3 linked regions of the Caenorhabditis elegans genome follow. The protein of the gene in region 2 purifies or fractionates together with the protein of the main gene of each other region. This does not show direct contact. Each region holds a gene or a part of one and is shown on either strand. Other genes may lie near its edges.

The links.
Region 1: the proteins of memi-1 (region 2) and gsp-3 purify together in Caenorhabditis elegans (affinity purification with western blotting, with the first as the bait; one study listed by BioGRID). This does not show direct contact.
Region 3: the proteins of memi-1 (region 2) and gsp-4 purify together in Caenorhabditis elegans (affinity purification with western blotting, with the first as the bait; one study listed by BioGRID). This does not show direct contact.

What each region holds. Positions count from the first base shown.
Region 1 is NC_003279.8:4,708,703-4,712,366, forward strand, and holds gsp-3 (Serine/threonine-protein phosphatase PP1-gamma), read right to left. Parts: upstream 2,011-3,664; 5' UTR 1,930-2,010; intron 1,735-1,929; 5' UTR 1,720-1,734; coding exon 1,264-1,719; intron 1,163-1,263; coding exon 770-1,162; intron 723-769; coding exon 654-722; 3' UTR 557-653; downstream 1-556. Other genes in the region: W09C3.3 (Methyltransferase FkbM domain-containing protein), read left to right, coding at 1-60; W09C3.2 (uncharacterized protein), read left to right, coding at 2,726-2,768, 2,813-3,149, 3,461-3,664.
Region 2 is NC_003282.8:4,758,394-4,762,264, forward strand, and holds memi-1 (MEiosis-to-MItosis transition associated), read right to left. Parts: upstream 2,036-3,871; 5' UTR 2,035-2,035; coding exon 1,555-2,034; intron 1,508-1,554; coding exon 1,322-1,507; intron 1,273-1,321; coding exon 1,081-1,272; intron 1,030-1,080; coding exon 847-1,029; 3' UTR 589-846; downstream 1-588. Other genes in the region: cyp-31A3 (CYtochrome P450 family), read left to right, coding at 2,667-2,759, 2,806-3,206, 3,250-3,346, 3,395-3,489, 3,538-3,871.
Region 3 is NC_003279.8:3,837,754-3,841,380, forward strand, and holds gsp-4 (Serine/threonine-protein phosphatase PP1-delta), read right to left. Parts: upstream 1,921-3,627; 5' UTR 1,850-1,920; intron 1,694-1,849; 5' UTR 1,679-1,693; coding exon 1,223-1,678; intron 1,144-1,222; coding exon 751-1,143; intron 705-750; coding exon 636-704; 3' UTR 537-635; downstream 1-536. Other genes in the region: T03F1.6 (F-box domain-containing protein), read right to left, coding at 2,215-2,343, 2,384-2,637, 2,739-2,952, 3,030-3,109, 3,165-3,332, 3,585-3,627. UniProt on the Caenorhabditis elegans protein: Probable phosphatase which plays a redundant role with gsp-4 in spermatogenesis by regulating sister chromatid segregation during meiosis.

The sequences.
Region 1 (3,664 bases), on a different chromosome or scaffold from region 2:
ATGAGAATGTGGCTTTTCAATTTTGAAAGCGAATATTGTGTTCGAAAATTTTTTAATTGATTTATTTTCTATTTTTGCTGAGCGACACATTACGGGAATTTTTTTTTTTCAAAAAACAGCTTCACAAATGAGGAAAATATTAATGTTATTAATTAATTTTAATTGAATAAAAATTTGTTTCTATTTTTTTGAATTCTAAAATTTTTTAAAACATGTGCAAAATGTGCATTTTTGATAACCTCCATCCAACAGAATGCATCCGATTTGCCACCCAAGTTCACATGCTTTCCTTGTCGTACGCCGTTCTGCAATATTTTTCAAACATTCAAGAATACTTTTCTCGAAATTACACTCGAATATGATTTCAGGATGCGAACTTTTTTGTCTGATAATACATTCTTGCCTGCCTACCTAGGTATCCTTTGTGCCTGTTTCACTTCGGCTAAATAGGCGGTTTTTGTCTTATAAGCTATCTGCGCAGACACCGTATTTAGCGCGGAAACATGATTGCTAATTGCTGATGTGTGCCCGGAAAAAAAGCAATTAAAACAAAGAAGAATTTTCCTCAATCATTCATTCATTTAAACACACAGACTTCAACTGATTTATCTCATTTGGTTGGTTGGTTGGATGGTGGTGACAGTTTGCAGAGCTTATCCTCGACGCATGGACTTCGGAGTTGGCTTGTACATGACGAAAGTGCAGACCATGTTCTCATCGACCTAAAATATTCGATTTTTCACAAAGAAGTTGTAATAAAGAATCTCACCTTCATTGTTGCAGCCGAATTGTCAAACTGTCCGCAGTAGTGAGGTGCCGAGAAAATGGTGACCATCTTCTTGGAGGCAAAGAACTCGTAGCCGTCTTGAACGACTTGATGTGCACGAGCAACCAAGTCGATGTCAAGTCTCGAGCAAACGTCAGCAACAACATCCTGTCCAAAGACATAAGAGACTCCACGAGTATTTGCCTGCCATCCCTTCACCCATTGATCAGGGTCAGCCCACAACAAGTCGATTCCGATCGATGGATTTGGTGGATCCTGGGGGCGTGGCAGTTGGCGAAGTTGATCAAGAGTTTGAAGATGTGGGGACAGACCACCATGCATGCAAAGGATGCGGGAACCAATGAGTCCACAGAGAGGCATCCAGTTGAAAGTGTCCTGAAATTTGGAGAATTAGGGAGTTGTTTCATTCTTCGCAGCGAAGTGATAATCCGCTACAGAAAGGGGACAAAGTTCGACAAAGTGTCTGCTCTCCTTACCTGGAAGATTGACCAGAGACGAGTCGACTTGTAACGACGGTTGCACTCCTCGTAGAACCCATAAACACGGTTGATGGCTGGGCACTCGTGGTTTCCACGAAGCATGAAGAAGTTCTCTGGATACTTGATCTTGAAACATAACATCAAACAGATCGTCTCGATATTCTGTCTTCCACGATCCACATAGTCTCCAAGGAACAGGAAATTGACATCAGGCGGGAATCCGTTCTTGTCAAAGATGCGCAAGAGATCCGAGTACTGTCCGTGGATATCTCCGCACACGATGATCGGCGGCTCAACCTCCAGGAGTGATGCTTGGGAGGCGAATACCGATTTGGCCACAGCACAGCAAGTCTGGAGTTCCTGCTCGTTGACAGAAGTTGTCAGTCTTCCACCGGACATGCCGACATTGAGCAAACGGCTCATCAAGTTATCGACATCCATTGGCGCTGTCATTATTGTTCTTCTTTACTGAAAAATTATTGATTTATTGGTTGTCAACAAGAATGATGCATCGGAGGGCTTCCACATAGGTAACAAAACGCCTGCCGCGGCGGCCGTGCGGCGACGGCAGGTTTTGAAACAGTGCCTGCCTCCCATGGAAGCCCGATGACCTAGTACACCGATTGAATGCATCACATTTCGCATCGATACCACAAAACATACCTTTGGTAGGCCCGGAGCGATGATCCAAAGTTGTCGTCCGTCGCAAGAATCGTACAATGATTGAATTCTTCAATTCTCAACCACACGTTGACTTTTATCAGCACGTGCAATCTTTTGGTAATTTTTTTTCGCGAGGTCAATTACACGCAAAATTGTTTTGATAATTTTGTTTTTTAGTTTTTCGGACTTCCAATTAAAGGAAATCGGACTTAAAAATAAGACGTTTGCCATTAGAACGCTTATTTTTAAACTAGGACTTCTAGACAAAATGTTTGCTGCGGAACTCAACTCTGATCCCCTGAAAACGCGGGCTGAATAGTTTCCTGGAAGCTTTTTGAAAAATTGTTAAAAATCTAAAAAAAAATTCATCCAACTCGATCAAAAATAATTCCAAATTCAAATAAAAGTCAGGAAGTTTGCCTATTAATAGTAATATTACTAAGAACATTTAAAATCATCGAAAACTTGCGAAAAAACTTTTTTAAAAGTTAATTTTTCGCAAAAACGCAGAAAATAGGCGTTAAGCAAAAGGATAAGTAGATATAAAGGTGTGCCTGCCTACCTTTTAGGTATTGAAATTATCTAACAAATGTACCATTAGAAACAATTGGGTTGGTTAAATAATTGAATTTGTACTTTTTGGGATCTTTAGTGCCTGGGAAGATTTTTCCAAATCGATTTTATCTCCTTTCTTAAAAAAAAAAGAAATCACATTTAAAACGTGAAGATTTCTGGTTATTTAAATTTAAAAAAAAACTAAAGCTATTCTCTGTTCCAAATTTATTTCCAATCAAACATGAGCCTCCACTTTGTGCTCTTTCACAGTTCTCTTAACTATTGTAAGTTCTACTGTTTCCCGCTTAAAATCCCATTGATTTTCCAGTGTATCTAGCTGCAATTGCAAGTTTAACTGCAATTCTAATATCAATTGGATGTACATCTGGACACCGGGAAAATCAACGACACAAGGATCGGAGTGATATGGAGAGCAAATGGAGTTTGAAGAGCTTCAAAAGTAAGAAGAAGCTGAGAAAAGTGAATGGTGATAAGATTAAAAAGAGCAAGAAGAGTAAGAAGAGTAAGAGAAAGGAGGTAACAGTAGATAAAGAGGATAATGAAGATGAGAAGAAAGATGAAAATCTGGAGAAGAAGTTGAAGAAGGATGATGGAAGCTCGCGGGAAAAAGTGGAAGACCAGGAACAGTCTAGGAAAATTGATAGGTAGGATAGGATCAGAACCACGTAAAATTACAAGGCTGCAAATGCACGAATAAACCCAATTGAAAGTGAAAAATACATGAGAATAAGAGAAAAATGAGTTTTCTTTGTACACTTCCCGCAGTTCTTATATTTCACAGTTGATTCGCATAACTCGACCGTTTGTAATTTTCACATTGTGAGCGTTTGCAGTCTCAGTGTGAGCATTATGTCTGATTTATTTTTTGGCAATTGTGCTGAAAATAATTTCAATCGAACAATTAAATCAAGTTCATTTTTGGACCTAATTTTGAAGTAAAGCTGTATTTTTTCAGAAGTATCAAAGATCGTAACCCCAAAAGTTTGGAACAAAAAAGTCATCAGAAAAATGTTGGTGAAGGATCAAAGCGTACTAGTAGCTCTAGAAAGCCAGAAGAACCAGAACGTAGCAGAAGAGATGATAGAAATCGTTTAAGAAGTGAAAAAACAGCCCAGGGCAGTTCGAAAAGCCTTCGGAAACAAGTGAGCAATCGGAGCAA
Region 2 (3,871 bases):
CCCTTTAAACAGACTACTGTATTTATATTGAATTTTTAATGATTGGATTTCGCAAAAATTAGTTATAAAAATTGTTTAAAAAAACCCACTTTACCCTTTCCATAGGGGTTCGGCTCATTATCTCGGAATTCTTGAAGTTTTTGCAGATTCTCGTTGATAGCGTCTTGCTTCGATTTCACTGTTGGCAGCTGGAAAATTAATTTCAAAACTAGGAATAAATAAATAAATAAAACTCACCTTTTTGATAACCTCTTCGGCGGTTTTCTTCTTCATTTCCTCGGTGATTTGCACATCGTTCTTCTTCCGAGGCATTTTGAAATTATGCTATTTTCCTGAACAAGGAAATGAAGAGGTGCAATAGAGCAGATATATATTTAAACGGGAAGAATCGAGAGAGACCTGATTACGTGATGAGACGGGGAGAGTGCAGACATTACAAGTCGTATGCTGTGAATGAGGCAATGAAAAGGCCAGGTTGTTGCGGTGGGAAAATAACGTATATGGAGTAATTTACCAGTGAAAAGCCGGGAATAGTTGAAATTCATATTCTAATCAATCAATCAGAGCAGTAATGCATTGTAAAATTATACCTCAAACAAATTCATCTTTGAAAAAAAATCAAAATAAATGCGGGCAATATACATGTCGAATATAAACAAAATAGTCGTGGGTTGTCACAATTTGGGCATTGGAGAATCTATATACATAAAACAACTAAAACAAAAAAGGAAAATAAAATAGGGGAAGTTAGTTGGAATATTCAACAGGAACCACTCGGTTATTTAAATACATATACAATAATACAGACTTATGCACATTACTACTAATTATAGGACATATATGGAGTTACTCGTCCTCTTCATCCAGTTCGAATGTTTCGAGAAACGAGATCAGGTCGTCGACTGGCGCAATTCCGTTTTCCAGCGAGATCATATCCTTTTCGACCTCGAATTCGTGGATTTCGACTGGCTCTTCGACAATCAGCACTCGCCGGTTCATGCACTTCACCGTTTGCTCCAATTCGATGTACTGAAAATGTTATAAATTGGAAATCGATAGAATTATTGCTATACAACTCACTCTATTTCTTCGGAAAGGATCCCTGGTGCTCGAGTTGTTCTTGTACACGATCCTCGTTTCCACGTGGCGCTTTCCTCGAATTGAACACGTGATTGATGCAGTCGAAGTCATCAGCCGGCCTTGTGAATCGAGTCCTGGCTCGAGATTTCCGTATTCCCGGCAGTGTGTGGTTCTCAGGAGACGAGTGATAGTCTGAAACATGAAAAGTTATTTGTGTGTAATATAAAACCGATTTACTTACTCTCTTCGTCTGTGATCGGATCAGGGTTGCAACCACAAAGCTATCTGTCATTTGGAACCTTTCGTTTTCCTTCTCTAGTTGTTCGAGCAATGCAAATAACGTTTGGAACGACATTTCATTGGTTGTCTGGATAGCAAATCGAGCCACATTTTGTCCCGTTTCCTTCGGTTCGGTCAGGAGAGAAGTCTGAAATGAGATTTATGCTTTATCAAAAATATGGCCAAGAAACTAACCAGAATCAAACTAGAGATATCCTCGACCGACAGCTTCCGGCACTGAGCGGCAAAATAATGTGGTCGTTGGTTGGGATGAAGAAACACGTGCTCGACAAGCGCTTTCTCCGATTCTCTGGTCGTGTGGAACCATCTTTGCGAGAAATAGTCGTAGCGCTTAAGACGAAGATTTTCAATCGGCACAGTCTGAATGTGCCGGAGCACTTTGACAGCTTCATCGCGGATGATTGTCTTGCTCGGTTTCTTGTCGACGAGCTTTGGAGTCTCATCGATACGATGAACGGAACAGTAGTTCTCATCTTCGACGAGCTCCACATCTTCTCCGTGCCCTTCGATAATTACATCATGATTGATGTTGGGTTGTGGTGGGAGGGAAGAGCAACCGGCTCGAGCGGTTTCCAAGCGATCTTCTTCGGCGTAGTTGGCGACGTATCTGGTCGCCGTCAAATCGCGAAGGACGGTGCGAGATGGAGCTGACATTCTGAAAAACGTTGATTTAAAATTTTATAAAAAATTTGAAGCAAAAATGAAAGAGAAAACTAAAAAAAAAGTAAATGTACTGAAGTGATTGGCAGATTAATAATAATTTATCGATAAAACCATTTTTTAAAAAACTTCATCAGTTTTTGTGAGTGTCAGCAAAGAAGAAGAAGATTCACGATCAAAAATTCGTTGAGCCTATATGAAATAGTTGCGCTGGTTTTTCGACGGGGGGATCAAATACGTCAAATAGGTCAAATAGACGAAGCATTCATAAAAAGTACAATATTCATTGAAAAATAGTTTTGGATTTGTTTTTTTGTTTTCTTCATTTTTTTGTTGAAAAAATAATGGTAATTAAAAGTTTTTAATAATTATTTAAATCAAGATTGAAATATCAGAAAACGACAAAAATTCGTTCGAGAACTTTCTCAAGACTACCGTACTCTTTAAAGACGCATGACGATTTTCACATGGGTCTCACCACGACTTGTCTGAAATTTGAATGTTCGTTCAAAAACTTTTTTTTTTGCGATTTTCAAAACCAAAGCTTAACAAACAATTTTCCTCAAGTTTTCAACGCTTTTTGCTCGTTTTTTTCGCTCAAATAAATTATTTCAGAAGGTTTTGCAATGGGGGTTATCATCCCCGCTGTACTTCTCGCTTCGGCGACGATAATCGCTTGGCTTCTCTACAAACACTTGAGAATGCGTCAAGCTTTGAAGGTTTGATTTCAAAATTCATTTGAAGATAATTTAAATAAATTTTCAGCATCTCAATCAACCACGTTCATATCCAATCGTCGGTCACGGACTGGTCACCAAGCCAGATCCAGAGGGATTCATGAACCAAGTAATTGGAATGGGATATTTATATCCAGATCCACGTATGTGTCTTTTGTGGATTGGTCCGTTCCCTTGCCTGATGCTCTACTCCGCCGATCTCGTGGAACCAATTTTCTCGTCGACGAAACATCTGAACAAAGGTTTCGCATACGTTTTGCTTGAGCCATGGCTTGGAATCAGTATTTTGACAAGCCAGAAGGAACAATGGCGTCCAAAGCGAAAACTCTTGACACCCACCTTCCATTATGATATTCTGAAGGATTTTTTGCCGATTTTCAACGAGCAATCAAAGATTTTGGTTCAGAAAATGTGTTCCCTCGGAGCAGAGTGAGAATTTCAATTTATAACGCTTTCAAATATTCATTTTCAGGGAAGAAGTTGATGTTCTCTCCGTTATAACCTTGTGCACTCTTGATATCATTTGTGAAACTTCCATGGGCAAAGCTATCGGTGCTCAACTCGCGGAGGTTCGAGAAATTCTTCAATCGCAACATTTCTAAACGTTTTTTTTTCAGAATAACGAGTATGTATGGGCGGTGCACACAATCAACAAGCTGATCTCAAAGCGAACAAATAATCCGTTAATGTGGAATTCGTTTATTTACAATTTGTACGATAGTTTTATCATTAAAAAGGTCAATTCAATTTTATTTTTCAGAACAGAAGACGGACGAACGCATGAAAAATGTCTTCGTATTCTACATGATTTCACGAAGAAAGTAATTGTCGAGAGAAAAGAAGCGCTACAGGAGAATGATTATAAGATGGAAGGTCGTCTCGCATTTTTAGATCTTCTTCTCGAAATGGTGAAAAGTGGACAAATGGACGAAACAGATGTTCAGGCAGAAGTTGACACATTCATGTTTGAAGGCCACGATACAACATCTACAGGACTAATGTGGGCAATACATCTTCTGGGAAATCATCCTGAAGTTCAGAGAAAAGTTCAAGCGGAATTGGATGAAGTGATGGGCGATGATGAGGACGTGACT
Region 3 (3,627 bases), on a different chromosome or scaffold from region 2:
AGATTTGTTCTCGAGCCGAAATGTGTATAATAGAGAGGAGCAAGAGTAGTGACCGGTTTGAAAGGAAGAGTGTCAGCTGTTATAAGAGATGTGTAATAGGATCAGTCGTTTAGAGTTTCGCAGACGAGAAAAGACACCTTTGAAGTGAAAACGTCATTTGGAAAAAGGCTGAAAATTTTCTTCCGGTGAACTTGTTGTCTGGAAACTCGAGAAATGAACTTCCGGTCCGATGCTAAAAAACAACAAAATCAAAGATTCAAGAATTTTCAGATTAATCTCTCCCAAGAGTTCCTGGCGTTGCTCAGGCTCGGCAGCTCAGGCAGAGAGGCAAGCATTAAACGTTTTCCGACAATTTTTTCAAAGATTTTCTGCGAAATGATGCAATGATTGCAGAGTAATACAGGTAGCCAAGACAAGCAGGCAGGATTTTATGCATGCTAGGAATAGTCATGATCTTTCCAAGCAGATACTAGGAATTTGTATATATGTATTTATGACTGGTGCGATCGGAACAAAATAGTAAAAAATAGTAGCTCTTTCAATAATTATTCATTCTTTCAAACACATAATTTGAGTAAACACCGTTTTCATTTTTCTCTTTTGGTTGGTTGGTTGGTGGTGGCAATCTATCGATCCTATCCTTTACGAAGAGACTTCGGAGTTGGCTTGTACATGACGAAAGTACAGACCATGTTCTCATCGACCTATAATATTCAATTTTCACAGAGAAGTTATAATAAAGAATCTCACCTTCATTGTTGCAGCCGAATTGTCAAACTGTCCGCAGTAGTGAGGCGCCGAGAAAATGGTGACCATCTTCTTGGAGGCGAAGAACTCGTAGCCGTCTTGAACGACTTGATGTGCACGAGCAACCAAGTCGATGTCAAGTCTCGAGCAAACGTCAGCAACAACATCCTGTCCAAAGACATAAGAGACTCCACGAGTATTTGCCTGCCATCCCTTCACCCATTGATCCGGATCAGCCCACAACAAGTCGATTCCAATCGATGGATTTGGTGGATCCTGAGGGCGAGGAAGTTGACGGAGTTGATCAAGAGTTTGGAGGTGTGGGGAGAGGCCACCATGCATGCAGAGGATGCGGGAACCAATGAGTCCACAGAGAGGCATCCAGTTGAACGTGTCCTGTAAATGGGGAATTGAGAGATTTGTTTCATTATTACGCAGCGAAGTAAGTTGACAAAATGCTTTCTGCTCCCCTTACCTGGAAGATTGACCAGAGACGAGTCGACTTGTAACGACGGTTGCACTCCTCGTAGAACCCATAGACACGATTGATGGCTGGGCACTCGTGGTTTCCACGAAGCATGAAGAAGTTCTCCGGATACTTGATCTTGAAGCAGAACATCAAACAGATTGTCTCAATATTCTGTCTTCCACGATCCACATAATCTCCCAGGAACAAAAAATTGATATCCGGTGGGAATCCATTCTTGTCAAAGATGCGCAAAAGGTCCGAGTACTGTCCGTGGATGTCTCCGCACACGATGATCGGCGGCTCAACCTCCAGGAGTGATGCTTGGGAGGCGAACACCGACTTGGCCACAGCGCAGCACGTCTGGAGTTCCTGCTCGTTGACAGAAGTTGTCAGTCTTCCACCGGACATGCCGACATTGAGCAAACGGCTCATCAAGTTATCGACATCGATTGTCGCTGTCATTATTGTTCTTCTTTACTGAAAAATTGTTGGCTTTATTGGCTGTGAGCTAGCGCGGAAAGTATGATGAATAGCCGGCAAGTGGGCTAAAAGCTGGTGAAAGCTTGGCCGATTTGGGGAGTAAGATGCATCGACGAAATGCATCACATTTCGCAACGAAACCCTGAAACATACCTTTGGTAGGGGCGGAGCGATGGTCCAAAGTTGTCACTCGTGTCCGTCGCAAGAATCGTAATGATTGAATTCTTCAATTTTCAACCACACATTGACTTTTATCAACACGTACAATCTTTTGTTAATTTTTTTTCGTAAGGTCAATTACACGTGCAATTTTCTGGTAATTTTGCGTTTTTCCGTTTGCCAATAAATAAAATTTGAAACCACTTGAATTCTTGATTTATTTACACTGAATTCAAAAACATGGGGAAATGTACACAGAAAACGAGAAGAAAATGCAGAAAAGAAGAGAATCATTTGGAAAAATGTTTGTGGAAATAAGAACAGTTTTGCACAATTTACAATTATTATAATTACTATTATTATTGACACCTGACTGCACGGAGGGAAATTGTCGAATTGTATGGACAGCTGGACTTTGACTGTCGGGTCTTGCGGACTGGCTCATTGAGCAACGCCAGGAATTCTTGGGAGAGATCAATCTGAAAGTTCTTGATTTTTTAATAGAAATTATCAAATTTAGAGCCTTACCTCATCATGTGGCAGGCTGCAATGGAAATGTTGAAGATTTGGAGTAGTGTGATGGAATTCATCGACGTGGCACAACAGAACTCTCTTCATTTCTTCCTCGGTCACAGCTTTCAGGGAGTTTCCGAATTCGATGGTTAGGCTCTCGAGGAAGCGTCTTCTCGAGTGAGGGAGTGCTGCTTGGTAGGCTTTTTGGAGAGCTAGGTTTGCGTCGTACTTGCTCGCAATTTCCAGGGTAACATTGCTGATGGTATGATCTGGAATATTCTAGGGATGAAGGTGAATTTGTAGGTAGGCGTCCTCCTGTCTGCCTACCGTCACTTGCTACTATTGTTTTTTTTTTAAACTAAAAACTTACGGTTAAGGTAATCATGGAACATGATGTACATGAACGAGTGATTCTGACCATGCCTCGTTTGCTCACTGGGCTTTGGCTCCGCGGGCTGATGGTAGGTCAATCGCATCGATGACGTGGCAATGTTCAAATCGGCATACACGTGTTGCTCATCGGAGGTCGACAACTCGAGGTGACGGAGTGATGAACTATGTCGGCTGACCAAATCAAAGCATCTCTGAAAATGATTATATTTTTAGATTGTGGGTAAGCGTTTGATTCCTATACATCACATAAAATTTTCAGAAAACTCACCTTCTCAAGATTTTTCATCTTCTGCACACACTTATCGGCACCAGCCAGCACGTTAATCTTGAGAGAACGGAGAGTGAATGCTGAAATTCAAGAATTTGAATTCATATTTCGGAAAATTTTGCAGCATCAACTCACAAGCTCTTTTTATGGTTTGGAACAGCTGGGACGTGGATTTTCCAGGGCAAATGTTGAGCTCCAGTTTTTCGATACACGTTCCGTACTTGATCACATCTTCCCAGTCACAACCGGTCAAATTGAGATTGGTGACACGGGAATCCTTGTTGATGAAGTACACAGAATAGTCTGAACAATCGAATTTGAGATTTCAAGAACTCATAAAATGCCTGACTGCCACAAATTTTTGAATTATTACTTTTTTTAGCGAAACTTTGATTTTCTTTCTCTCTATCTCTTGAGCAAAAACTATATTGGATAAAATTTAGAATTTTGGTAAGTTTTCAAAAAAGTTTTTATTGTCTTGTCTTTTTAATTTGCAAGATGGTGATGAGACCCAAAAAAGACATCAAATTGTTATTAAATTTTAAAGACGCTTACCATTATCATGAACCTCGACTCTAAGGGCCTTGATCTCCCGATA